Cricetulus griseus: one gene and its partners. The protein of the gene in region 1 interacts with the protein of each later gene in a biochemical or structural test. Links are inferred from orthologs where the notes say so. Each region holds a gene or a part of one and is shown in the gene's direction. Other genes may lie near its edges.

The links.
Region 2: of the proteins of Dok1 (region 1) and Tec, one has a biochemical effect on the other in vitro, tested with the Homo sapiens proteins (2 studies listed by BioGRID, with this or other methods). The link is inferred for Cricetulus griseus from reciprocal best matches to the Homo sapiens genes DOK1 and TEC.
Region 3: of the proteins of Dok1 (region 1) and Lyn, one has a biochemical effect on the other in vitro, tested with the Homo sapiens proteins (2 studies listed by BioGRID, with this or other methods). The link is inferred for Cricetulus griseus from reciprocal best matches to the Homo sapiens genes DOK1 and LYN.
Region 4: the proteins of Dok1 (region 1) and Rasa1 form a complex in vitro, tested with the Homo sapiens proteins (2 studies listed by BioGRID, with this or other methods). The link is inferred for Cricetulus griseus from reciprocal best matches to the Homo sapiens genes DOK1 and RASA1.
Region 5: the proteins of Dok1 (region 1) and Abl1 form a complex in vitro, tested with the Homo sapiens proteins (5 studies listed by BioGRID, with this or other methods). The link is inferred for Cricetulus griseus from reciprocal best matches to the Homo sapiens genes DOK1 and ABL1.
Region 6: the proteins of Dok1 (region 1) and Crkl form a complex in vitro, tested with the Homo sapiens proteins (2 studies listed by BioGRID, with this or other methods). The link is inferred for Cricetulus griseus from reciprocal best matches to the Homo sapiens genes DOK1 and CRKL.
Region 7: the proteins of Dok1 (region 1) and Fgr form a complex in vitro, tested with the Homo sapiens proteins (2 studies listed by BioGRID, with this or other methods). The link is inferred for Cricetulus griseus from reciprocal best matches to the Homo sapiens genes DOK1 and FGR.

The regions. Positions count from the first base shown.
Region 1 is NC_048601.1:74,204,847-74,208,904, reverse strand, and holds Dok1 (docking protein 1), read left to right. Parts: upstream 1-1,258; 5' UTR 1,259-1,335; coding exon 1,336-1,395; intron 1,396-1,709; coding exon 1,710-2,003; intron 2,004-2,180; coding exon 2,181-2,274; intron 2,275-2,393; coding exon 2,394-2,578; intron 2,579-2,747; coding exon 2,748-3,557; 3' UTR 3,558-3,859; downstream 3,860-4,058. UniProt on the Homo sapiens protein: DOK proteins are enzymatically inert adaptor or scaffolding proteins. They provide a docking platform for the assembly of multimolecular signaling complexes. DOK1 appears to be a negative regulator of the insulin signaling pathway.
Region 2 is NW_023276807.1:139,339,377-139,343,597, reverse strand, and holds the start of Tec (tyrosine-protein kinase Tec), read left to right. Parts: upstream 1-1,421; 5' UTR 1,422-1,460; coding exon 1,461-1,598; intron 1,599-4,221.
Region 3 is NC_048595.1:156,324,208-156,327,707, reverse strand, and holds part of Lyn (tyrosine-protein kinase Lyn), read left to right. Parts: coding exon 1-32; intron 33-2,528; coding exon 2,529-2,660; intron 2,661-3,500. UniProt on the Homo sapiens protein: Non-receptor tyrosine-protein kinase that transmits signals from cell surface receptors and plays an important role in the regulation of innate and adaptive immune responses, hematopoiesis, responses to growth factors and cytokines, integrin signaling, but also responses to DNA damage and genotoxic agents.
Region 4 is NC_048595.1:305,211,905-305,215,404, reverse strand, and holds part of Rasa1 (ras GTPase-activating protein 1), read left to right. Parts: intron 1-1,291; coding exon 1,292-1,449; intron 1,450-1,792; coding exon 1,793-1,869; intron 1,870-2,942; coding exon 2,943-3,115; intron 3,116-3,500. UniProt on the Homo sapiens protein: Inhibitory regulator of the Ras-cyclic AMP pathway. Stimulates the GTPase of normal but not oncogenic Ras p21; this stimulation may be further increased in the presence of NCK1.
Region 5 is NC_048599.1:143,412,014-143,416,015, forward strand, and holds the start of Abl1 (tyrosine-protein kinase ABL1), read left to right. Parts: upstream 1-1,202; 5' UTR 1,203-2,492; coding exon 2,493-2,628; intron 2,629-4,002. UniProt on the Homo sapiens protein: Non-receptor tyrosine-protein kinase that plays a role in many key processes linked to cell growth and survival such as cytoskeleton remodeling in response to extracellular stimuli, cell motility and adhesion, receptor endocytosis, autophagy, DNA damage response and apoptosis.
Region 6 is NC_048597.1:71,867,896-71,872,068, reverse strand, and holds the start of Crkl (crk-like protein), read left to right. Parts: upstream 1-1,373; 5' UTR 1,374-1,809; coding exon 1,810-2,120; intron 2,121-4,173. UniProt on the Homo sapiens protein: May mediate the transduction of intracellular signals.
Region 7 is NC_048595.1:20,267,237-20,270,736, reverse strand, and holds part of Fgr (tyrosine-protein kinase Fgr), read left to right. Parts: intron 1-1,481; coding exon 1,482-1,585; intron 1,586-1,753; coding exon 1,754-1,903; intron 1,904-3,500. UniProt on the Homo sapiens protein: Non-receptor tyrosine-protein kinase that transmits signals from cell surface receptors devoid of kinase activity and contributes to the regulation of immune responses, including neutrophil, monocyte, macrophage and mast cell functions, cytoskeleton remodeling in response to extracellular stimuli, phagocytosis, cell adhesion and migration.

The DNA.
Region 1 (4,058 bases):
CCGGCGGGCGCTCCAGGAGAGTTAGGTTCAAGCTGGGCAGGGTTTGGTGTGGAGTTGTCGGAGCTTCCTGTAACACTACTGTTTCTGTCACCGGGCAACCACAAGCTAGGCTGGCTTCTTAGCTCAGGCCTTCTCTACCCAAGCCTGAAAACAGCCCTCCACAGCAAGGGGGCCCCCAGAATTGCTTCCCCTAACTCAGACAAGACAGCTTTGTTCTGGGGGCATTTGGCTTGGAAGCCCTGGTGTTCGGGTTAGGGCCTCCCAACTGCGCCCTGAAGCTTCCATCCCCACTATCTGCTCAGCTCTCCACTCTCGTGTTTCCGCTCCTTTAGCAATAATGTAACTGTCAGTTGGTTGGCTTCCCCGACTCCATCCCAAATCAACTTTCCCTCTGGTCCACCATCCTCTCCATCCCCAACTCCTCTTTCTCTTGGCCGGCAGTGACTCCCCTACCTTCTTCGCCTAGGCAGAGCTCCAGAGGCTGGAAGCGGAGTCCTGGTCCTGGAGATTAGTTTTAGGACTTCCCAAAAAAAAAAAAAAAAAAAAAAATTCTTCGGCCAGGGGAGACTGGACCCCCCCTTCCTCCCCCCTCTTCGTTGGTCCCTCCCACGTCCCCTAGAGCCTCCCACATTCCACTTTCTCCCTCCATTCCAAGCCAGGCCAGTCCCCTTCCTCTAGATCTTCCCTCCCCCGTGGAGCTGCTGCAGCCGTCCCCCCCCAGCCCCCCCCCCCACTACCCCGCCCTTCTGCCGGCTCAATGAAGCTTTCTTTTCCCGCAGGTTGGAGGCCGGGTAGCCGCTGTCAGGATGCTGGACTTGTAAACGGTTTCGTGATCGGCCCCTGCGGCGGCGGGAAACTTGCCAGCCTCTAGTTGTTCCTCCACATCCCCAGTTAGGCAGAGTATCAACAGTCCAGTTCAACTCCAGGATTGGGCCATGGGAGCAGGTCCCACAAGAGGAATTAATGTCCCGAGGACCCCCCTTGGTGGTTGTAGTGCCCCCGGGGTGCCTGCGGGAGACGTCACGGCCTTCACTCTGATGTCACGCTAAGCATATGACGCCACTCTCAGCCCCCCACCTCCCAGGCACCAGGGCCTTCTAGTTGACAATCACGGCTTCCCTGAGTGGCACCACTGTGCGAACGAACGGTAGGATAAAAGGCCCCAGTCGGCTTATCTGGGTACCCCGACTTCTTCCTGCTGGCTCCTCTTCCTCCATCCCCCATCGTTGCCGCAGGGGCCCAGGAGGGGCGGGCACGCCTCCGGCACCCTGCAGCCCCGCCCCGCCCCGCCCCCCGCCCTCGGGGCCAGGAAGCTGGGAAGGAACCGCCGGGGCCATGGACGGGGCTGTGATGGAGGGTCCGCTCTTTCTACAGAGTCAGCGCTTCGGGACCAAGGTAGTGTGAGTGGGTTTGTGTGCGGCGTGGGGGATGGCGAAACCCCTCCGGACTAGAAGTGGGTGAAAGCAGCCAGAAAGAGGAAAGGGGCCGGAAGCAGGTCGGGACGCTGCTCCGGCAATTGCAGAGCCCCATGAAGTTCCCTTGAAGCCCCACGCTGTGCCCTTCTTGGGGAGGAGTTGGGATGATGGCATTATCTTTGGGAAAGTGTCCCTGCCTGGGAAGCCCCAGACTCAGATCGGCCTGCGTGTGTTTCTCCTTCCCCGTGGGGGCGTGCTGCCGCGAACTCCCGCGTCTTTCATTTTTTCCCCCAGAGGTGGAGGAAAACCTGGGCTGTGCTCTACCCAGCTAGTCCTCACGGCGTAGCGCGTCTGGAGTTCTTTGACCACAAGGGCTCTGGAGGGGGTCGAGGCGGCTCTCGCCGTCTGGACTGCAAGATGATCCGCTTGGCTGAGTGTGTGAGCGTGGCCCCTGTGTCAGTGGAGAGTCCCCCCGAACCCGGCGCCACTGCCTTCCGCCTGGACACCGCGCAGCGCTCGCACCTGCTGGCGGCGGACGCCCCGTCCAGCGCCGCCTGGGTGCAGAGTTTATGCAGAAACGCTTTTCCGGTGAGGGGTTGGGGGTGAGCGGCCCTGGGCCTAAGGAGCATTACGAGAATGGGGCTTATTAGAGCGGCACTGGACCTCCTGCACCTACTCCAGACCCAAGGGAAATATATATATATATTTGGAGTCTGTCAGCTTGGCTTTTTATATATATATATATATGTGTTCCTTTTCCTGCAGAAAGGCGGCTGGGCTTTGGCGCAGACGGAGAACCCGCCTAAGTTTTCTGCCTTGGAGATGCTGGAGAATTCCCTGTATAGCCCCACCTGGGAAGGTAGCTGCCTGGCATGAATGGAGTGGGGAGAAGACGTGGTCTTGGGAGCTAGCGATTGGAGGCTACCAAGTCCCTAACCTGCCCCAGCGCTCCTTCCCCTTTCTGTGTGTTCCTTCCAGGCTCCCAGTTCTGGGTAACCACGCAGAAGACTGAGGCTTCTGAACGCTGTGGCCTGCAAGGCTCCTATATACTGAGGGTGGAGGCTGAGAAGCTGACCCTCCTGACTTTGGGGACCCAGAGTCAAATCCTGGAGCCACTCCTTTTCTGGCCCTACACTCTGTTGCGACGCTATGGCCGGGACAAGGTGCAGGGGCTGTCTGGGAGGATGACTGTCAGGGAGGACTTCGGGTTGGCTAGCTGTAGATGATCAATTCCATTCCCAGGTGGTCTCTTCTCCTCAGATACACTAACTTGGTAAGATCTGTGACTCATCTTTTATGACACTCCTAACATGTTTCCCTCCACACCCTCAGGTAATGTTCTCTTTTGAAGCTGGTCGCCGCTGCCCCTCAGGCGCCGGAACCTTCACTTTCCAGACTACACAGGGAAATGACATCTTTCAGGCAGTTGAGGCTGCCATCCAGAAGCAGAAAGCCCAGGGAAAGGTGGGACAGGCACAAGATATCCTCAGAACTGAGTCCCATGAAGGGGAGGCAGAGGTGAAGGTGACTTCCCCTCCTGCTCCTCAGGAGCCCCTGGACAGCCCCCCAGCCCTATATGCTGAGCCTTTAGACTCCTTGCGAATTCCCCCAGGCCCTTCTCAGGACTCTCTGTACTCAGACCCTCTGGGTAGCACCCCTGCTAGGGCAGGGGAGGGGATGCATTCGAAGAAACCTCTCTATTGGGACTTGTATGGGCACGTGCAGCAGCGGTTGCTGAAAGCCAAGCTGACAGACTCCAAAGAGGACCCCATCTATGATGAACCCGAGGGCCTGGCCCCAGCCCCTCCCCGGGGCCTTTATGATCTGCCGCAGGAACCTAAGGATGCATGGTGGTGCCAGGCTCGGCTGAAGGAGGAGGGCTATGAGCTCCCATACAACCCTGCTACAGATGACTATGCTGTGCCACCTCCGCGAAACTCCAAGCCTGTCCCTGCTCCCAAGCCGCAGGGCTTGGTCCTTCCTGAACCTGGTACCACAGGAGGCAGTGGCAGCAAAGACCACAGCTCAGATATGGCTCTGTACAGCCAGGTCCAGAAGAGTGGGACGTCAGGGGGTTGGGACTGTGGGTTTTCTAGAGTAGGGAATGACAGGACAGGAGTCAAGTCAGAGGGCTCCACCTGAGACAGTTGCTGATAGTTTCATGGGGCCGTGGCATTGACAATCAAATCTGTTATAACCAGCAGGAACCAGAGGGTGGGAGGTGCCTAGGTTAAGACTAGGGGACCAGAGGCATCAAGGGATGACCAGCTCGAGAACTGAGTGATATAGGCTCTGGGACTAGACCTATGGAAGGGGCCTACTAGTCAGAGTGGAGGCACTTTGGGGAGGCCAGTGTGGCTCCTTACTTTTGTATTGTTCTTTGCTAGATGTATTTTTAATTTATAAGACAAATTTCATTAAAGCCAGTTTGGTTTGAAAAAGTCTCTGTGTGTGAATAGACACAGTGGCGGCATGTCCTGGGAGGGCGTGAGGGGATCAAAAGAAAAACCAGAGATATGTTGGGGACCAAGGAAGGAGGAAAGGGCCCCAGAGAGGAAAGTCTACAGTGTGGTGGCTCAGGGCCTGGGTGGTCACAGGCTCACCTGGGAAGGTCTATAGCTCTGTGACCCTGGGTCAGCTGTC
Region 2 (4,221 bases), on another chromosome or scaffold:
TAGTATTCCCCACCGTACCTTCTGAATGAAGGGGTGGATGTTTAGAGGTTATGCTGTTGAATAAATGCTCATAAAAGTCAGAAGAGCCAAAGTGGCTGATGTCATTGTGAAGAGGGAATAGTTATAGTAGAGCACTAAAGTTATCAGGTTGGAAGAAGGCATGATGGAATTCCTTAGTAGCTCAGTATCCATTCACTGGCGACAATATCAAGTAGCTGCTGAATGTACTTCAGGAGACTCCTTTTTTTTCTGTGGTTTGATATGCAATTAGTTCTTGAAAGGGCATGGAGGAGGCAAGGGAAGGAAATCTACCCTAATTCAGCTTGCCTCAGGGAAGAATCCGCAGACCTCTTCTGGGTACCTTTAGGTTCTCAAATGGCTGAATCCTTCCTTCCTTCCTTCCTTCCTTCCTTCCTTCCTTCCTTCCTTCCTTCCTTCCTTCCTTTCCTCCCTCCCTCCCTCCCTCTCTTCCTCTCTCTCTCCCTCCCTCCTTCTTTCCTTTCTTCCTTCCTAAAGCCTCCCCTACCTCCTTCCCTTCCACTCCATTCCCTCCCCCACCCGGCCCCTCCCCTCTCTTTCTCCCTTCCTCTCTGCATTCCTTTATTTCTGTATACCGTGGTGGTCAGATGACAAATTACAGGAGTTGTTTCTCCTCTTTCCACTTTTTTTGGGGGGGGGGGTTCTGGGGAGTGAACTCAGGTCATCAGGTTTGGAGGCACCTTTACCCATTGAGCCATCTTGCCAACTCTAGTTTTAAGGCTCTAGGTACAGGATCAAGGATCTTTGTATCTAGGTAGGCTGTCCCAAGAAGGGTTAGCCTTGACTTTGTAACTCTGACTGGGTGGGCTTCTTTTCTCTTGAGGTCTGGATAGGAGCCATGTATGGAGCATAGTAATGTAGTTACCAAGGGGCATTGCTGTAGCAACAGCTTCCTTTTGACACCACTCTGATACCAGATCAAGATGACATTCTTACTGAGTCAGAGTGTGAATTGTATCCACTACCATGCTTATTCATTGTTCAAATCAGTTATGCTGTGTGGTCATGTGTTTCAGTTCCTAAGATCTTGAGGCCTAAATGAAAAATACAGGCAGTGGAATGCACTTTGCCATCTGAGTTACTTGTTCTCCGAAGTCAAATAGCAGAATGTGTTGGAGAGCTAAGGGATACTGGAAGAGACAAAGACATGTATCATCACCATCATGGGAAATCTTCATTAGGGTTTCCTGGGAAAGGGCTGGGCAGGATGGAGGCTGAGCTAAGAGAAGAAAAACTTTGGGCCTTGGTCACCCCAGTCTGGACACTTAAGACTATCCTGGCTGGAGGGTGAGGAGGGTCTATATTTGTAATTTAAAATTTCAACAGCATTAGAAAATTAGAGCCATATTCTCACCATTTATTTTCTAACTTTAGAAACTGGGATCTTCAATGGCAGGAGAAAGAGCGACCAGAAGACCGAGATGAATTTTAACACTATCCTAGAAGAGATTCTTATTAAAAGGTCCCAGCAGAAAAAGAAGACATCACCACTAAACTACAAAGAAAGACTTTTTGTTCTTACCAAATCTGTGCTAACCTACTATGAGGGTCGAGCGGAGGTAGGAGACAATCTTCTCTGCCACATTTAGTGTTGACAACATTGAGTAGGCAATGCTCTCCACTGAGCGAATGAACTTGAGGTTACCGTTTGTTGCCATTTGGACTTGAAAGGTGAAATTTAGCATGTGATAGAACTCCACACAAGTCTGTCATTATAGGTTCAGATATATAGCTATCCATTTGGTGTCAGGCTCCTGAACTAATTAATCTGTCAGAGAAAATACATTCCTGTTTGTTTTAGGTCCTTATAGAATTTATTGGTATACTGAGCACATGGCTTTCTCCCACAAGCCACCATATTATGTATCAAAGCCTAAGTTTTGTGTGAACGTTTCTTCATTACTTGAAGATGATGAGTTATTTGGTGAAGCATCTATTGAAGTTGATTACAGAGGAATTCTTGAACTCTTGATGCTAAGTGTCTACTCCCATGTTCTTTGCTGGGGGCAGGGAGATTAAAGAAGCAGCATCCAGTGAGCTCCTGCTGTGGGATGTTAGGTACAGTGAGGAAGGAAGGGGTTTTGGTTAGGCAGCTTCTAGCTTTCCACAATGAATGTGAATGAGTGGCTATCCCTGGCCCAATTTAAAATCTTGCCATGGTGGATATGGTATTTTCTACTACTGCCATAGTCCTGTATGCTAGAAATAATTTTGGGTTGTAGAGAATGGCTGGGGACTAATTTCTCTTGACAACATTCGATAGCAAATGTCATTATGGTGACTGCCTGGTGGTCCTGGTATTTGGGCTCAATTGTGCCTATTCTTGGGTGGTTTTCTCAGATGTTGACTTAATGTTTTGCTGTTGTTTCTTATTCTGTATTTTGGTTCCCTTCATTTATACAGAATGGCATTACTTTTCCTGCGCAATCTCAGCTGTTGTTTCTACTGTGCTGTATTGTCATGGCCTGTGCTGTGCTTCAGGTTCACAAACCGTAGAACCATATTCCTTTAACTCTAACCACTCCCCCAAATGCTGAAAACCAAAGCTTCAGGAATTCTACTTGTAAAACTAGAGCTGAGGTGAGCCCATGCTCACTCTTTAGTTTATTCACTTTGAATGTGTGCCCAGAACTGTTAATGTGACTAGTTATGTTGGCTACCTTTGTCCCATGGTGCTGCGTTTTCTTTGTTATCCAAGAAGTTGAGAAATCCAGTGGGGTTTCAGATAAGAATTGTTACCAATATGAGGATTATTTTAAAATTGCTAACAGATTTGGAGGGAAACATGAGTAAGTTTTTGCTGTATGGCAGTGATTTGATGTAAGTGGAATTTAATATAGTTAGTCCAGGAGAAAAATAGGATACAGCAGTGAGAGTGGTAAAAGGCAGCACTCTCCTAACCCCAAACTGCAGAAACTGACATGTCAACTTAGAAATATGGACTGGTACTATTAAAATACAACACAGCAAGGCCAGACAGATGACTCAGTGGTTAAGAGCACTGGCAGTGCTTTCAGAGAACCCGTGTTTGATGCTCTGTGTCCGCACTAATGCTCACAGCCAGCAGTTACCCTAGTTACAGGGGGTTTGATGCCCTGTTCTGGCATGTATGAGGTGCACACAGACATACAAGCAAAACACCATCCACATAAAGAGAAAGTACAACACAATGGTCAACTCACTCTCAAGATGTTAGTATACAGTTGGCCCTTGATGTCTGTGAGGGCACTGTTTCCCCTCACCACCACCTCATGAACTCAAATCTATTGCATAAAATAGTGCAGTATTTGCATGTAGCCTGTGCAATCCTCTTGTGTATTTTAAATTACCCATGTATTGCTTATAATACCAGATACAATATTGATGCTATAAAAAATACTCATTCTATATCCCTTAGGAAATGACATGAGAAAAATCTGTATATGTTCAAACAGATGCAATTTTCCCTCCAAATATTTCCTGGGGTTTGTTGATTCTGTTGACTCAGAACCTGCAGATATGGAAGGTTAACTGTGAAAAGTTACAAGTGCCCTAATAGATTAAGCAGAATGAAAAGACAGTGGAGCCCTTCTAAAATGGGGTGTCATTTTACTTTCTTGTGATTTCTGTTGTCTCGGATGGACTGGCATTCATTAGTGACTTGCTGCTTGAGCTGATCACAGATTTGTTGCCTCTCACAGTAAATAGTTGCCAGGGGTAGGGATGTAGCCAGATGCTAGAGTGTGTGTCTAGTATGTGCTTAGCATGTACCAAGCCATTGACTAGATCCCCATCTCTAGATAAACAAATAATTGCCTAAATTGAATTATTTGGAATTTGAAGATAAGAATCAGAATTCTTGGAATAACCATTAACAATACTGGGAAGACTTCCGTGTGGCACCTCTCAGCCCATTTTCTAGAAAATCCAGGAAACACCTCACACCGGAGTTACTTCCCTGTTTGGGGGCATGTGTCCAGTGCCTGTTTGCAGTGGATGAACCTTCTGCTTTTTTGTCTCTATTCTTAGAATCACATCTCAAAAAGCATAGTGAGCTGGGGAATCACCGAGAATGTTGAGTTAGAAAGTCAGATTCTAGACTTGGGCTGTGAAAACCATTGGAATCTCTAGAGACATTTAAATTATCCGTAGCTCTTCTGTTTTCAAATGAAATCTGGGGAAGAGGCTGTCTGTTGCTTCAGT
Region 3 (3,500 bases), on another chromosome or scaffold:
AATCGAAGATAATGAGTACACAGCGAGAGAAGGTATGGATACTGGGTCATACAGGCCATTTCTTTGCAAGTGTATAGTGTACTTTCAGCACCTTTCACCCCCATGCCTGATGCCTTCCCCTTTCTCACCCCCCATCCCACCAAGTGTTCCCTCTGTTGCCACTGACCACCTTGTTTTCGCTTTCAAGGTCTTGCTCTCTAACCCATACATGTATGATCAGATGGTCTAGCGATGGGAGAAAATCTACTACCTACATATCTGACAGAGGGTTAATATCTAGACTATGCAAAGAACTAAAAAAAAAAAAAACTACATAATAAGAACATTTTAAATTATTGTCTTACTGTCTCATTTCAGCTTTTTTTAAAGGTAAATTTAACAAAAAAAATCATCATTTTGAAAACTACTTATTAGGTACAATATTCATGATGTGCCACAATTGTAGCTTACTTCTTAAGGAGCTCTCTCTTGGCTAATGACACTTAACACTTTAACAAGGTCATAAACAGTAGCATCTTTCTTCTTCTTCATTGTTTTGAGACAAGGGAGGTGTTTGTCTGTTTTACTTTTTGGTACTTGGGATTAATGAACTAGGGTCTCAGGCTTACAAGACAAGTGTTCTACCATTGATTTGTAGCGGGATCTTGTGTAACCCAGGCTGGCCTCAAACTATAAATCTTTCTGCCTCAGCCTCCCAAGTGCTGGTATGTGTACCACACTCCCAGCCTTCTATTTCAGTTAACCAAAGTAAAACAAAACTAAATTTGTCAAAATTAGGATTCTTTGTTTACCCTGTAAGGCAAATTTCCTCCCTCAGTTACAAAGTACTGTGCTTCTCTGACCTGCAGTGATATTTGTAACACATTCTGTGCTGCAGACCACAGATGAAGGACCTCAAAGGTTCTGCAGCCCCAGAGACCCCTCTGTAAGGAGACGAGCTGGGATTCAAACCAGGGAATCCAGCCTCAAAGTATACGAGAGAAAATTTATTCTACTGGTTTTGTTGACACCAACAAGCACTGAGTTTTTGAAAAATAAATCTTCTGCCATATGTCATTGGCATACTGATCTTCGGTTCTGGATTACACACAGGGCACAAAGACAGTATGGAACTTTGTTAGGATTATACCAAAGAGAAAGCAGTAACCCAGAGATGGTCCTAGCATCTCCCTTCCCTCCCATCATGCACCACTGCTCCAGTTTGTCAAGGGATGATGCAGGAATTAGTGATGCTGCCCAACACACACAGGTGTCACACAACTCTCTTCACTGTTCTTATAGGAACTTCCAGTTTTTGGGTGGGTTTTTTTGTTTGTTAGTTTTTGTTTGTCAAGACAGGGTTTATCTGTATTGTTTTGGAGGCTGTCTGGAACTATCTCTTGTAGACCAGGCTGGTCTCGAACTCACAGAGATCCTCTTGCCTCTGCCTCCCAAGTGCTGGGATTAAAGGCATGCACCACCACCACCTGGCGGAACTTCCAGTTTTAGTAAGACACTGCAGAAGAAACCTCATGCAAAGACATAGTGCAGACAAGTGATGTTTTCAAGTGATGGCTATGAACCCCTAGCAGTTCCCTGATGCTGGCATCTGTGCCAGGTCTTGCTTTCCTCAAGGGACCTTGTGTTTCCCTAGCTAAATCTGCATGTTCCTGATCCCTCAGCCTCACCAGCAACTCAGGAACCTCACTCCATCACTGTCTCATTCTAAGTAGATAACCATGCTCCTTTCTAACCATCTAATATGATTTGTCAATGGAAGAAGGGATCATGACATTTGGAGCAGCACCTGTGATTGCCTGGGCACAAGCTTAAAATTATTTGTGAACAAAAGAATACACATTGACACATATAAAATATATGACACATATGGTACATATATATATCTGTGGGTATAGTTCAGTGTTGAGTGTGTCTGATACCCAGCACTAAAAATTAAATAGGTAAATTTAAATGAAATAAAAGATACATCCATGCAAACATAGAGTGAACTCATTAAAGAAAAAAATCTGAAATGTTTTGTGGGGAAAGGTTGGTGGGGACATTTTGTTATGTTTGTTTGGTTTGGTGTTTTGAGATGGGGTCCTGCTTTTCTGTCCAGGTTGGTTTTAAACTCCTAGAATCAAGAGATCCTTCTGCCTCTGCTGAGACTAAGGTGCACATCAGCATGCTTGACTCTGAATAAAATATCTACACTGAATGTCAGTGCTAAAGAGTCTGGTTTGAAAGGCAAACATACACACTGGTCTTTACATTGTATGCCATGTCCTTTTGAGTTTGAACTTAGGCCAGTTACAGTGTCCCCTAGGGGTTTCAGAAGAAACTGTGCTTCTAAGGAAGGGAGGGTCCAAAGGGAAACATGATAGGGAAGTAAATATATTTGAATGACATTTGATACCACGTCCATTCTGATTGTGTGTGTGTCTTATCTATTCCAAACAATAACTTGAATTTCCAAAAACCCAGAGGAGAGAATGATCCATGACCTTCTATCTTGAGCTCTGAGTAAGAGTCTGTGTCTCCCTCCCCAGGTGCTAAGTTCCCTATCAAGTGGACGGCTCCAGAGGCCATCAACTTTGGCTGCTTCACTATCAAGTCTGATGTGTGGTCCTTTGGAATTCTCCTGTATGAAATCGTCACCTATGGGAAAATTCCTTACCCAGGTATCGCTTGCCTACTCCCCACTCAAGTGTTCTGTGTGAAGGAAGAACTAAGCAGTTTGAAGACATTTACAAAGCAAAATAGTGCTATCTACCCAATCCATGCCTCCAACAGAGCTTGGGGTCATGCTTCTTGGTCTTTATCTTACGATTCCTTCACCAAATCCACCACTTACAATCTTGACTGCACCTGGCACTACCTTGGGTGCTTAAATGAGGCACATTAGACACTTGTTGCATCTCCTCCAAGGCAGGGCTCCAGATGCAGCAGAATGTACAAAGAACCAGGGTCTTCAACGTCTTCTGCGTGTTGTGAGAACTGAGGTGATGAACAGGGTGGTAGGTCTGTTTTCGGGAAGGACTCTTCTGGTCTTAACTCGGGATGCCACTGAAGACATTGTTCAGTATCCACACCTGCATTCCCTTGTGCCCGCTTCTGCCTGGCCTGCCCTCCTCCAGAGTCTGTAAAGGGCCTTCTCAAATTCCCAGTTTCCCTTTAGTGTCTTTCAGTCAGTCAAAACTGTGTGAATAACATTTTTTTAGTAGCTAGAGAGGTAGCTCAGCAGTTAAAAGCACTGACTGCTCTTCCAGAGGGCCTGGGTTTGATTACCAGTACCTACATGGCAGCTCACAACTACCCATAATTCCAGTCCCTGGGGATTCAACACTTTGGCCTCAGGAGCTTTCTGCCAAGTGGCTTCAATGCAAAGTGGAAAGCAGAAGAGCAAGCAGGCTCATGCAGAATGAGCTAAGCAGAAGGGATGGCCTCACTTCCTGAAAACTCTCCTGGTGACTAATGTGGGCCTTCAAGAACAAGCACTGGTTCCTGTGAGAAGGGTATCC
Region 4 (3,500 bases), on another chromosome or scaffold:
TTTTTCTATACATGCTGTTTTGTCAACGTTTCTTAAAACTAGAAAAACTTAGTCTTTCAAGCATTTTATACCCTTGCTTGACTTGATAGTAGATTGCTTTGTGAAAGAGTTCTTTATATTTGTACTCTGCTTCCTAGTCTACTGTGCCAACTTGAAAAAAAATAGATTGTTTTTCTGCTTACAATTCAAAAGCAGTAAAAGAAACTTATTTTGTGTATTGAGTTCTTGCTTGGAAAAATAGGTAGAATGAAATGTACTTCTGAAGAGTTAATCAAATTCACAGGAGTATCCTGTTTATTTTTGAGACTGAATACACAATTTTTAGGAACTAGCCAATCTTATTAAAATCTAAACCTTGTGTATACTTTTGTTAATAGGAAGTTAATCTAGGTTGCTTTATGTATATATATACTGCATTATGACATTTTTAAAATCGTTTTTATTGTTAGAGATAGGAGTTGTCTGTAGCCTAGGCTGAGTTCAGACTTTCAGTAATCCTCCTGCACCAGTGTCCTGAATGCTAGGATAACAAGTGTGAACCACCACAACTGACTTATCCCTTATTTATTGGCCATCACATCTTTTGTTGCATTAAAATTATCCCTAGATAATTGGATGTAGTTGAGCTCTAATATGGTTCGAATTTTGAAGAAAGTTAAGACATTGTATATTTATGGAGCAAAATGACCCCTATTAATGGATATTTCAGTAAGCTTGTTGTATTTAACTGGAAGTGTAAAAACAGTCGTTCTTAGGTAACTACATACTATCCGTAACATAAATTCTGGTCTTTGTTGCAAGGACATGTAATACACACACATTTAATAAATAGAAGTTGTCACATATCTTTGTACACATATAACACATCTTGAGCCTCTTTGATACGTCCGTTAATCTGCAGTGGGTTTAAGGATGGTTGCCAATCCTTTACACAGCATGTAGTCTTCTACATTTTACATGAAAGAAAAGCAAGGATCAGATACTGACTTGTTTGTTGGAAGTAGGAAGTAGATGGATAGTTCTAGCACCTATACTGGTAATACATTAGTTTCTCAGAATGTGTCTTTTCTGTAGCAACAGATCATAAAATCAGTGTCTTAAGAACATCTTAGCCTGTACTCCTTTAGAGTAGTAAAATCTTCATAAGCATACATTGATATTTGGAGTTTTGAAATGGATGGTGACAGGTGATTAGCAAAGTTTGTTTTTTGAAATACTAAGAAACAAATCACTATTTTTGTTTATATACAGGTCTTGAAAGGTTGGTTATGAATTTCTGTGTTCTCTTTAGGTCAGCAGCCTTGTTTTACATATTGAAGAAGCCCACAAACTCCCAGTAAAACACTTTACTAATCCATATTGTAACATCTACTTGAATAGCGTCCAAGTAGCAAAAACTCATGCAAGGGAGGGGCAAAACCCAGTATGGTCAGAGGAGTTTGTCTTTGAGTAAGTCATATTTTATCATATTCAATCTATTTTTTAGAGTCATATTTCCTCCTGCTGTTTACATATAAATTACCTAAGATCCTGTTTGTCAGGTGTTTTAATAGTATTTTTTGTTGGGTTTGCTCATCTTTATTAATAAAATGCCTTTGGATTACTGAAAAGTATTGACAAAATGTGTTCTATATTTTCTAGATCTTGTTTTAATTGGTTATTAGTGGCTTAAGAAGTTTAAGATTACTGGGGAAATGTAGTTATCAAGTATTCTTGTCTAACTGGTTATATAAAGCTGGTATTAAATGTAACACACTAAATTTTTAACTAATTTTTTTCCTTCTTTCTTTAGTGATCTTCCTCCTGATATCAATAGATTTGAAATCACACTCAGTAATAAAACAAAGAAAAGCAAAGATCCAGATATCTGTAAGTTGATTAAAAAAGCTTTCTAAAGTAATGAAAGCATGTTGTGTGTATTTTTAGAATTTATAAATGAAATGTCTTAAGATGGAGATGAAAAACATGCTGTGCAGTCTACTATTGACTGTTCAGAGGAGACTATTAAAGTATATGTACTATAAACCTTATAATTTGAAATATACAAATCTACTTTCCCTTCTCCCAAAGAATAGGAGAAGAAACTGGTAGTGGTGATCATTTTTCGTTCTCTTTCCTTTTTTATCTTCCCCTAATTTCCTACACTTCAAATATTAAAGGTTCCATTCAGACTAGAGATGTAGCTCCATGGTAGAGTATTTGTCTGGTATGTAGTGGCCTGGAGACTAATCCCCAGCCCTGCAAATTAAAAAGATAGGATGTTTAGCTGTGCTATTTTTTTTCTGTTGTAATATCCAATACTCTGTTCCTATTCTGAGAAGCACACTTCTTGTCCTGTTGGTAGGACAGATGGCAGTGGGATTTAGTGATTTTTATCATGGTGAATTAGGTTAATGCCTTCTTACAACTGAGGCTTTTGGGGTAAGCAGTGATATGTACTGACAAATCAAAACCTGAAGCTCTCTGAAAAAAATGTTTATTCTGTAATTGCTTATATTTTTAAGTGTTTTTCCAATACTTGTATGATAAAAATCCCAGTTTTTTAGAACAGAAAGAAAGCCATACTTTCTATTTGGATTGTGGTCTTTATTGCTCTACCTTTTTTACCTACCTACCTAATCAATTCACAGGTTCCTTTTTTGGAATTGATTTTTAATGTATCTTTGTATTATCCAGGGTTGTAGCACTTACACTGCATCCTCTTTGACAGCTTAAGACATTCTCCATGCACGTCAGACACCATGTCTTAATCATTTCTTAACTCCAGATCCCCAGCCTATGACAGAATGTAATGTAGCAGGTCTAGTAAATGAAAAAAATAACCAAACCAGTTAAGTGTTTTGTGATGTTATTGAAACTTGGTTAATGAAAAGCTTTTAACACCATAGAAAACTGTATTGAGAAAATGTAATTGTATGAACATAGTGGTTTTTCTTTTGTAGTATTTATGCGTTGCCAGTTGAGCAGGTTACAAAAAGGACATGCCACAGATGAATGGTTTCTTCTCAGCTCCCATATACCACTAAAGGGCATTGAACCAGGATCCCTGCGTGTTCGAGCACGATACTCTATGGAAAAAATCATGCCAGAAGAAGAGTACAGTGAATTTAAAGAGGTATTACATTAAATATAAATGTTATTTTTTTGCTTGTTTTCGAGACAGGGTTTCTCTGTTGTTGCTTTGGAGGTTGTCCTGGAACTTACTCTGTAGACCAGGCTGGCCTCTTACAGAGATCCGCCTGCCTCTGCCTCCCAAGTTCTGGGATTAAAGGCGTGCACCACCAACACAAATGTTAACTATTTAATAAGAATCCATAAAGCTAAATAGTAGCGTCCTAGATTAGTAGCATGCTAGTAGCCAGAGGTAAAAAAAACATGTAGTGTGATTTTGATCCTATAAGGCTAGAAATATATAGGCTACAAACTTACTCCATTATTAACTATTGCATTCAGTAGATGGTATTCTTTCATCATCCCATTGGTGTCCAATGATACATAAT
Region 5 (4,002 bases), on another chromosome or scaffold:
CTGACACTTCAATCACGTCTATGAATGCTTTTCCACCTGTGTAGTGGGAACAGTATTTTATTCATACCTTGATGGGTGAAAAGATTGGGGTAAAGCATTTTATATAAAAGTTCAGATTGTAAGTGCTATGAGAAATAGGTCCAGGTGCCCAGCAGGTGGTGGCACACGCCTTTAATTCCAGCACTCTTTTGGAAGGCAGAGGCAGGTGGATCTCTGAGGTTGAGGCTAGCCTGGTCTACAGAGTGAATTCCAGGACAGCCAGGGCAATACAGAAAAAACATGTCTCGAAAACCCAAAAAGTAAGAAATAGGTTCAGGAACAGTGAAGACTGGGGGTGGGGGGCGGGGCAGAGGATGAACTTTCACAGGTGTGGGGTAGTTTCACAGGCTTTTGAGATCGGATAACCTGGACAATTTTCGCCTAACTTCGAATTTTACGGGAATGTATGTCTCACTGTGGACTATCATGGTAAGGATTCATACTAGTGCAAACGTGCACGAATGCACGATCACGCCTGGCATACTCTGAACAATGTTTCTTCGACTTCTTCCTATCACAAAGAATCGTCGATGCTTGCTTGCTTCCTCAGTTCTTCTTCACAGATTCCCATATTTATGCCTTTCCCGAGTGATGAGGATGTAACGAACCGGTCACGTTGGTATCTAGGAGCGAACCAAAAGTTTCTCCCCTAACGAGGCTCAAAGAAGTAATCCAACTCCGGTTCTGGAAAACTCCAATCCATAGTTTTCCCCTGGCTCTGAATCTCCCGCGGTCTTGCTACTCAAGCAGTGAAGACGTTGGCTGACCGGAGTCCACCGGCTCCCAGGAGGCGGGACCAGCTCTCTAGCTATAGGAGCTGGAGGCTGGGGCCTCAGCGAGCAGCCCATGGGCGCCAGGACCACAAGTCCCAACATGCACTGCGGCAGCACCAAACACAATTAGCTGGCCCCTCTCGTCCTCACTGGCCAATTGGACGGCGGTGAGGGGACAGACTCCAGTCGTAGGAAGACCAGTGATAATGCAGAGGAGGCGGGCGCTTCCTCATCGCTCACCTTGAGCTCAGAAAACCTATCTTTAAGAGGTCGTGCGGAGCCGGCCTGTCGCGGGCAGTGAGGCGAGACCCCGAAAGTGCTGCGGCACGTAGGACAGCGGCGGCGGCGGCCAGGCCGACCTCGCGCAGGGTGTTCTGGCGTCGTTGGGGGCGGGGTCGGGGGGCGGGGCCTGGCCTCGTTGTGGTGCGGCTCGTAATCCATCATGGCGGCCTCGGGGGTCGGTGTCTATCCCTGAGAGGCGCTGGAGCCGGAGCCGGTTGCAGCGTCCTGCGTTTGAGGAGCCCTTCCGCGGCACACCCCCCTCTGGCTGAAGAAGCCCGGTCCCTCGGCAGAGCCGGGGATGTGACTGCTTGGCGGCGGCGGCGGCAGAGTCCGGGGCCGGGGGAGGGGTGTCTCGGGTAGACCCCTGGCTCGGCGCAGCTGAGGCGCCGGGCCTCCTCCCGTGGCCGCCTCCCGTTTCGGGACCGCGGGAGACCTTCGTCCCTCACAGCTCTGCTCTGGCTCTGGGACACCCAGGGTGGTCTCAGTTTCAACCTACCTGGGACACTCAGTTTCCTGAGGCGAGGAGGAACGTCGCCCCCGAGTAAGCCGCCCGCGCCCCACCTGGGGAAGTCTCTGTCTCACCCCGAGGCCGCCCTTCGCTCGATTCCCACCCCAAGTTTGACCACGGAGCCCCTCATTCAAATCTCTCTGCTGTCAAGAGATCTCCACGGTCCTCCCAGATTGCTTCCGCCGGCCTCCGATGTCCTGACTTCTTCCAATGTCACCTACAGCCCCATTGGTCTCAGTGCAGCCCAAAACTTTAATGCAAAGAAAAAGTCTGGATTGGTTTCACAGGCCTTTTAAAAAGCGGACTTAAAAAAGTTGCTGGCCATGCATTCCTTTTCGACAGTGTGGAGAGCAAGCTCTGGTTGAGATCTGTGTGACCCGAGTCATTTTCCGGAGAACAGGATAGGGAAGAGAGCGGCAGGAAATTTGTTGGAGAGAGAGACAGATAGGGGATTGGTGACTTCCACAGGAAAAGTTGCAGAGAAGCGTCAAAGACGTTCAACGTCTCCAGCATGCTGGGGAGTTGAAATGACTTTTAGTACTGTTGACCCTTTTCAGACTCCCCAATGAATATTTCTATCTAAAATTCGCCCCTTGCAAAGAAACGTTCCTCAATCCGCAAAATAGACGGAGTCAAGAAGCTTTTGGGTAGCGTTGCGATGACATGACTTCAAATTAATTAACTTGGAAAAGAATTCCAGACTCCTGTTTACATGTGTGAACCTCAAATCCAGTTTCCCTTTCTCATGGAAGTTGACTTTCTGTGACTGACCCCAGTTACTGCCGTGGAGTCAGTGTTGTGAAGTTCTGGGTACATTCTGTTTCCTACTGAGGGGACCATTCTGGAAGATCTTAAACCCTCTTCTGGAAAGGGGTGCTTATCATTGCTTTATGGGGCAGCAGCCTGGAAAAGTTCTTGGGGACCAAAGAAGGCCTAGTTTGCCTGCCCTTCATTTTATCAAAGGGGCAGGGAAGAGGGACTCATCGCGGCATGGGGGTCCACACTGCAACGTGTTCGTGGAACATGGTGAGTGCTTTCCAGGTTTCTGATCATTGTTTTTCCTTAAACATCAAAGGACTTTATGAAACAATGCTTGTGTCGGTTCCTGCTGTATCTGCTTAGCGTTTTTGCTACTGTAGTTACTAGTTTCTTTTTCTGGTGGAGCAGTTCTTTGCATAAGAAAATTATGACTATTCAGTCTGCTTGAGTTGCTGTTTCTAGCCACATCCCACTTCAGGTTCATTGTTGACATGGGACAAGTCCTTTTACTGTTTGGGGGCCTGCATTCGTGAGGGAGGGGAGGGGACTTAGGTGCTTTTGAAGTATTCATAGTTCTTCCCATCTGCTCTCGCTAAAAGTTGGGAGTCTACTGTTATGCATGGTTTTTTTTGTTTTTGTTTTTTGGTTTTTTTGTTTGTTTGTTTGTTTTTTTTTGGGGGGGGGGTTGGTGGTTTTTCAAGACAGGGTTTCCCATTGTAACAGCCCTGGCCATCCTGGAACACACTTTGTAGACCAGGCTGGCCTTGAACTCACAGAGATCTGCCTGCCTCTGCTTCTGAGTGCTGGGGCTAAAGGTGTGTGCCACCACCACCTGGTAAGCATGGATTTTTTTTTTTTACTGCCCGTCTATGGAGCACTTGTATCGTATCCTCAAAGTGATTTGTGTATTGAAAGGTTCTAATAGAACCTAATTGATGCTATCTTTTGATTTTCTCAATTATAAGCAGGACTTGAAAATTCTCACTTTGGAGCAAGGTAGGGAAAGTTGAGTGTGGAAACAGTGTGCCCCTGAACTGAGGACTGTTCTGTTACTTTAAGGAATAACCCTGTCCTCATTGATGGAGCTTTCTTCACCCTCATCTCTTCCTGCTTAGTTGGCTTTGACATTTTTATGAACCTAATTTGTTCATAAGGCTGACAGTACATGTCTTGTTGTTGGCTAATAGTTAAGGTCAGGTTAGACTAACGTGTTGCAGAGGCCATCCAGGAGCTAGTAAATTACCGTCCTGGTTGTACTGTGGCAGTGTCATTTTTCAAACTGTATACTTAATATCAAAATACCAATTGAACCATCATGCCATATAAGCAAGTGTAGCCTATGCAAATGCCTCGTATACTTTGAAATTCAGTCATAAATACGTTTTAACAATAGGTGACTACTATAAACAATGGCTGCTTTTGGGTGAACTTATATTTGATAATTGAAGTTTTCTTTTTTTAAGGTTTAGTTTGTTTTATGTGTGTCAGTATTTTGCCTGGGTGTGTGTATGTGCACCATGTTCGTGCCTGATACCTACAGAGGTCAGGAGAGGATGTTGGATCCCCTGGAACTGGAGTTACAGATGGTCATGAGCCACAGTGTAGATACTGGGAATTGAACCTGGGTCCTCTGTAAGAGCA
Region 6 (4,173 bases), on another chromosome or scaffold:
ACCTTGACATTTGCTTATTTGTTACTGGGATGGAATCACCTATTACCCCACAATCTAAGATTTGCTGAACATGGGAAATACAAATGGCCAGAATGAAATTTCACTGACAGAAATCTAAGTAGTGTTTGCTCCTCCTGTCTTTCTCTTTTGAGACCTCCCCCTTTTCTAATTTCCTATTTTAGGCTGGGTCTTATAAAGCTCAGCTGTCCTTAAATTCATAATCTTCCTGCCTCTACCTCCCCAGTGTTGGGCTTAGTGGTGTGTGCCATCACCCCTGGCATGGGATTATACCTTTCTGTTCATCCAATTTGGAAATGCTATGATCAATAACCTGCCATCAGTGTCTTGGTGATTTTTCACAATAGTCATTCATTTAACAAGTGTCTGATCATTCATTCAAGACCAGACATGGTATTAAGGTAGGCAAAACAAAGGTGTTTTATTAAAATTTGATCATAGCCAGGCAGTGGTGGGCAGGTGTGTACCTGTAATCCCAGCACTCAAGAGGCAGAGGCAGGAAGAGTTCCCGGTCAGCCTGGTCTTGGGAGTGAGTTCCAGGACAGCCAGGGCTACACAGAGAAACTCTGTCTTGAGTATCTCACCCTAAAATAAAAAAGATTGATCCTAGTGGGGGTGGAAGAAATATGTTGGGAGGGCACGGCTGGAGTTGAGCAACGTGGAATGGCAGGAAGCAAACTGGAACTGTTGTAGAACAACGACCTACAGCAGGCAAGACATTCAAGTCAGACACAGAGGTGTTGCATTTCAGAGCCTGTAGTGGCCTGGTTGTCACCAGACTGTGGCCCTCCTAAAGCATTAGTTCCACGTGTGCCAAGTCGGATCACCTAGGGCAGGAGTTATTCAGTAACCCATTTGATGGTCACCTCACCCTGGGTCATGCCTTTCCTAAGCCACCTGATTTATCAGGGCCCTGTGGCTCGCAGTCACCTGAGGGCCACGCCTCCCTGGCCAGACAAGCCAGCACGTTACGCTTTGTTCCCAGAAACAGGTTTTCATAACGCTGTTCCCTCTCGGCTCCGGCTGTTTTCTCGCCAAGTGCGGAACTCCCGGGGGCGGCGGCGGCGGCAGCAGCAGCAGCAGTTGCCTGACTGCGGCTCTGTGGCCCAGGAAGGGCCTGACCCACGGCCTCCTCAGCCTCCTCCCGGAACGCGGGAGCCAGCACGAGTGGCTCACGGAGGGGACCCTCGCGAACGCACTCCTGATTGGCTGCGCCGAGAGACGTCAAAGGGCGGGCCCCGTGGCGGGGGTAGCGCCCGGCTCCGCGCGTGCGCAGAGAGAGTGAGCTGGACCAAGGGGGAGGTGCCCGGCCGCTTCTCCCGCGTCCGCCATTTTGTTGCTGTGGCTATTGGGAACGGGCTGGGTGAAACGGCCTGGGAGGCGCGACTCTTGCTGGAGAAGGCTGCTTCGTGTGACGGCGAGGGTCGGTGCGGGCTCTTGACGCTGCGGAGCCGGCGGGTTCCAGGACAGAAGTCGCTGGAGCCATTCCTGGGCGCCGGGCAGCTGAGAAGCCCGAGGCGGCCTCTGCTACCGCTCGGCTTCGCCCACCTCGACCCCAGGGCTTTGCCCAGTGTTCCCGGGCTTGCTCTTCCCGTGAGGCGGCCCGGTGCAGGCGGGCGGTGGCGGAGGATGCTGCGGGGCCCGGAGCCGAGAGGAAGGTCCTGACCCAGCCCTCTGATTGCTCCTCGAGGTCTTCCGAGAGGCCCTTCCTCGGCCCCAAAGCCGACAGCGGGTAAAGGCTTCACGAGCAGGCGAGAGCAGCAGACGCCGCCCATCCCCGGACCCAACACCATGTCGTCCGCCAGGTTTGATTCTGCAGACCGCTCTGCCTGGTACATGGGGCCAGTGTCTCGCCAGGAGGCTCAGACCCGTCTCCAGGGCCAGCGCCATGGCATGTTCCTAGTCCGGGACTCCTCTACCTGCCCCGGGGACTATGTACTGTCCGTGTCCGAGAACTCGCGTGTCTCGCACTACATCATCAACTCCCTGCCCAACCGCCGCTTTAAGATCGGGGACCAGGAGTTTGATCATTTGCCGGCCTTGCTGGAGTTCTACAAGATCCACTACCTGGATACGACCACCTTAATCGAACCAGCGCCCAGGTACGCGAGCTCCTGCTGCCCTGCTCGGGCTGGGAACCAGACCCGATGCGGAGGGTCGGTCAGAGATTTAATTTTGGGGGTGGAGGGAGGAGTTGAATTGCTTTCCCTCATTCTAAACCAGAAGGAAGACATCGGATTGGAAGGCCAGTGTCAGGATCTGGGTCACTGGATGAAAGGATGCATTTTTATTTAGACATTTAGTGGTGATTGTATTGTTCAAATGCACCCACCGACACACATACACAGTTTTGTCACTTTAGCTGACTAATACTAATGCATAATTATTATTGTTATTATTATTTATTTTACTTGTTTGGTTTTTCGAGACATGGTTTCACTGTGAAATAATCTTGGCTGCCTTGGAACTCATTCTGTAGACCAGGCTGGCCTCGAACTGCCTCCCGAATGCTGAGTCTAAATGTGTGCGCCACCACCGTCTGGCTGCAGAATTCTTTTAACATTAAAAAGTATATAGACGTCCTTGAGATTCTGAAGCTAGCCATGGCTCTCTCCTCGAAAATTCTTGTAGTTTACACACCATTTAAGGTTTTAGAACCCCCTGCATCTCAACAGCTAACTGCAGGTTAAGAACTGGCTTGCAGCCTTTGGAAAATCGTTAAAATGAACCGAAATCGTAGGAATTTCAGAATCTGATGCGCAATTTGAAGTAGCCCCCCCCTTTAAAAAAAAAAAAACTAGAATTTCAAAGGAAAAAGACTGAGATTATATTTGAGGAAATTTGTACCATCTCTCCCTGGTGGGAAGTATATTTATCTTAATTCTACATTAATTCAGTTTTAGATTTTTGGGGGGTGGGAATTAAATTTAGTGGTTTAACATATACTTTAAAGAAACTGAAGTAGAGCTGCGTGAGAGAGATGCACACCCCTAACCGCCTAAGGAAAAGAGGACCTTGAGTTCCAAGCTTAATTGCGCTATAGCAACAACAAGAAAGTAGACTTCAAAAAGTATTTCACTGCCTGGTATATTTCTAAGCCATTTTCTAAAAAGGTCTGGGGATTGAGTTAGACTTCTCAGGGTGAGCTGACTTCATAGAATTGCTAATGAGGTAATTTGCTCTGAACTTTGAAGATGAAAAGGTACTATACTTAATTAAGGATACCTACTAAAAGTAAAAGGGTTTCTTTTTTAGGATAGAAGAAGTAAAGCTGTGATGGTACAAGGAGTGTAAAGTTAACTGGCAAAATCAATGGAGTTTAAAAAACTGTAGTGAAGGGGCTAGGCTTGATGACTTAGTGAATGAAAGTTGTTTGCAACAAAAGCTTGATGACCTCAGTTTGATTCCCCCAAACCCACATAAATGTGGAAGGAGAGTCCTTTCTTTAGCCTCAGTGTGTGTCCCATGGCAAGTGAGTATCCACACACACATCAATAATTTAAAAAAAAAAAAAGTAAAACACAGAGAAAGTGACTGTAAATAGTAATCTATGTTATGGAGATGAGGACACTGAGAATTCTGAAACATGAGGGTCCTAGTAGCTGGTGGCAGGTGCTGTCAACTTTAATAATTTTGGATAGCTTGGACAAACTTAGGAAGTATAATGTTTGGTAAAGCCAGGCGGTGGTGGCGCATGCCTTTAATCCTAGCACTCCTGGTCTACAAGAGCTAGTTCCAGGACATCCTCCAAAGCAACAGAGAAACCCTGTCTCGAAAAATAAAAAACAAAACAAACAAAAAATAATAATAATGTTTGGTAATATATTTGAGTAAATTTCTTCTCTCCTTTGTGAAAGTGGATTATATTATTGACCTCAGGCCTTTATTAGAACATGCTTGCAACAATGTAACAGGTGTTGGAGAAAGTCTAAGTTAATTATTAGATTCCCCTCAAGGAGGAAAAGTGTGCTGGAGTGGCTTCCTGTTACCTACAAAATCTAATTCTATTAAGTGTGTCTTCTCAGGTACCAATTTTCTGTGTTACCAATGTAATTTCCTGAAATTTTTCTTAGCTCTGCTTGACACACATTCGTATCTTTTGTTTTGTTTTGTTTTGATTTTCAAGACAGGGTTTCTCTGTGTAGCTCTGGAGCC
Region 7 (3,500 bases), on another chromosome or scaffold:
GTGAGGTGGGATTTCTTGAGCAGAGGGACACGGGCAAGTCCAGTGCATAAGCGGGATGAGGCCATATTGTGGAGAGAGTGGCAGGAAGCATGAAGGAGGAACGGATAATGGGCGACGATGCCAAGGACCGGGGGTTGGGGTACGTCCTGTTGTCCACAGCTTGGGCAGCATGCTGACATCCAAAGTGCTCGGTGCCATGTCATGATTGAGAGTAGACAATTGGGTTCCTGTTTTGGAGTCACAGTATGGCCTCCGGCAAGTTGCTTAACTACTAAGTAGTTGGTTCAATTTCCTTCTCTGTCTTATGAGCTGAAACATGGCACATTCCTCTGAACATTATTAGGAAGTACATGTATGTGTAGGGTCCATGTCCACCACAGAAAGAGTGCCCAGCCTATTTAAAGTCTGTTTTTTATTTTGAAGCAGGTCTTGCTATGTAGCTCAAGCTGCCTCACACTCAGGATCTCAGCCTCCTCAGTGCTGACCTACTTAGTTGACCCTTAAGGAAGTTAATAATGTCATGGCTGGGGGTGGAGGTGGCTTTGGAAAACTCTGGCCGTGAGTCTGCTACAGAGTCCTTCAGTCTTTTCTCCTTCTTGCTGTCTGCCCTCCTAGGCACACCATTTGCCAAGAGCTCTTCCTGTCTCCCAGATTTGCCTAGTAGCCAGGTACAGACTGAGCATGCCAGAGTTCCCAGGTGTTTCCATCCCCCTCAATTTGAAAGCTGTGTTCCTTCTATTGAGCCCATGTGGCACAGTCACTTTAGCCATCAGTGAGATGACAGCGGAATCTTCTACAGCATGTGTGGTCACTTCAGGCACATACCCCCATGAACTTGCACAGTTGGGTCTGAGCTACAGTTCAGTCACAGGAAACATCAATGGGGGAAGAATCAGGGGATTGGGTGTGGCGGGAAAGAACTAGGGTGGGTGAGGACTTTAGGTGGTCCATGTCAGCTCGCCTGGTGGGTAAGTCAGTTCCCTTCTGAGCCTTGAGTGCCTCCTCTGTAAACTGGGTTGTGAAGAGTTCTAGTGGGATGAGTTAAGGACCCTGTGGCAGTAACTATGAGGTCATTGATGACGAGGTTTTACCAATTTGGTTGTTTGAGACAGGGTCTCACTATGTAACCTTGGCTGGTTTGGAACATCTGCCTGCCTGTGCCTCCTGAGTGCTGGGATTACACACATTTTTATTTTTAAGGTAGGGTCTCACTACGTAGCCCTGACTGGCCTAGACCTTGTTGTTTTAATTTTAATTCAAGAGACGCCAGTGGTTAGAAAAGAGGATGGTGGTCTTTTTAGGCATCTCCTGCGTGTGTCAGCCACTTTCTCATCTCCCTTCTCTGTGGTCCTTATACCATCACGCAGACTGTAACAGCCCATTTCTCAGGTCAGGAAATTGAGGCTTGTGAGATGACTTCCCAGGAAGATGGACTGGGGTTTGAAGAGAATGTGCCTGACTCTGCCTGCCTCTCCTCACAGGTGGTACTTTGGAAAGATCAGCAGGAAGGATGCAGAGAGGCAGCTTCTCTCAGCTGGCAACCCTCAGGGGGCCTTCCTCATTCGGGAGAGTGAAACAACCAAAGGTGCATTTTTAGTAGTTACTTCATGCCATCTGCCATTCTGGCCAGTGGGGCAGTGCTTGGGTCCCGGCTAAGGGGCAAAGCTAAAGTAGGCTCTGGGAATTTGCCTTTGGTGCCTCTTCCTGCTCTTAGTCTGAGGGACAGGAGGACTAAGTGACCCTTCCCACACAGGTGCCTACTCCCTGTCCATCCGTGACTGGGACCAGAACAGAGGTGACCACATAAAGCATTATAAGATCCGAAAGCTGGATACCGGTGGCTACTACATCACTACACGGGCCCAGTTCGAATCCGTGCAGGACCTGGTGCGGCACTACATGGGTGAGCTACTCCAGGAGACGGTGTGTTGTCATGATGGAGATACTAACCCCTAGAGGATGAAGTGATCTCCCAAAGCAGTACTGGCTGGACCAAGTGTGCATGTCTCCAGGCCAGGATCCTGCTCCGTGTAGATCCTGAGGGAACTGAGGCCACAAGTGGCAAAGACAAAGCAGTGCCTCCTAATGTTCAAGGCTAGGTCCTTGCTTCCAGATCTAAGCCGGTGGGAACTTTTTAAAAAGTTACATTTTATTTACTTGTGGGAAGGGTTCATGACTGGATGCATGCCAGAGTGTGGGTGTGGAAGTCAGAGGACAACTTGTGGAACTTTGTTCTCTCTTTCAACCAAGTGGGTCCTGGGGATGAAACTCAGGTCATCAGGTTTGGCCTTAGCCACTTGCCTGATGAGCCATCTTGCTGGCTCCAGTCTATGGAAACTTTGTGGGGGTCTTTGTTGTTCTCTCTCTCTCTCTCTCTGGATGCTGTGTGGAAGTCAAAGGACAACTTACAGAAGCTCGTCCTTTCCTTCCACCATATGGTTCTCAGAGATCAAACCTTTATCTGCTCAGCGTCCTTGCTGGCCCTGTTGTATTTCCTAGGCAGAGTCACCATCATAGGCTCTAAGCCAATGGTTCTCACCTGTCCTAATGCTGGGGCCCTTTAATACAGTTCCTCATGTTGTGATGACCCCCCCAACCATAAAATTATTTTTGTTGCTACTTCATAACTGTAAGTTTGCTACTATGAATTGTAATGTAAATATCTGATATGTAGGATGTCTGATATGTAGGATGCAACTTCTGTGAAGTTATGGCTCAACCCCCCCCCCCTCCAAAGGGGTTGAGATACAGGTTGGGAACGAAAAGGGGTTGTAACCCATAGGTTGAGAACAACTGCTCCAAGCAGTGGATTGCAGAAGGTGGTCTGAACTTTGAGATTCTCTGGATGCCAGGGACAAGGCGGAAGGAGAGGTCCCTGGGCTGCTGTGGTCATTGACCAGGCAATGGTAGTGGCCAGATGGAAGCAGTGACTGCACAGACAAGCAGAACAGGCGGCAGCGTAGACCTGACCAGATGGAGGCCTGGCTGTGGGATTAAGCAATGGTGCTCCACTCAGGTCTAAAACCCAAGTATGGAGACCAGGCCACATCATTGCCTATGTTTCCATCTTGAGCCCTTAGGCCCAGGATGAGGTCCATGAAGAAAGGGCTGCAGGTCCACAGTTTTGCCTCCATTTTCGCCTGTCAGTCAGAACCAGTGCTTATCCTGAAAGGCCCTGCTGGAGGCTGCCTCCTAGGAAGAGCCATGAAGTTTCCATGGGGATCGTTTCAACTTCTCTATGCCATCCTCTTCCTTGGACACCAACAAGTTTGCCTACTCAGAGGCCTGAATTGCCTTCTTCCTTAACTGTGACCTAAACTATGTATTAGTTACTCAAAAAAAAAAAATTTTTTTTTTTTTTAAATCCTGGCTTGTGAAGGCAAACTACTTTTGTTCTGTTTGTTTTTTGTTTGTTTGTTTTTGTTTTGTTTTTACTCTGTAACCTAGGCTGGCACCAAACTCATTACAAGCCTCCTTCCTCAACCTACTGAGTGCTGGAA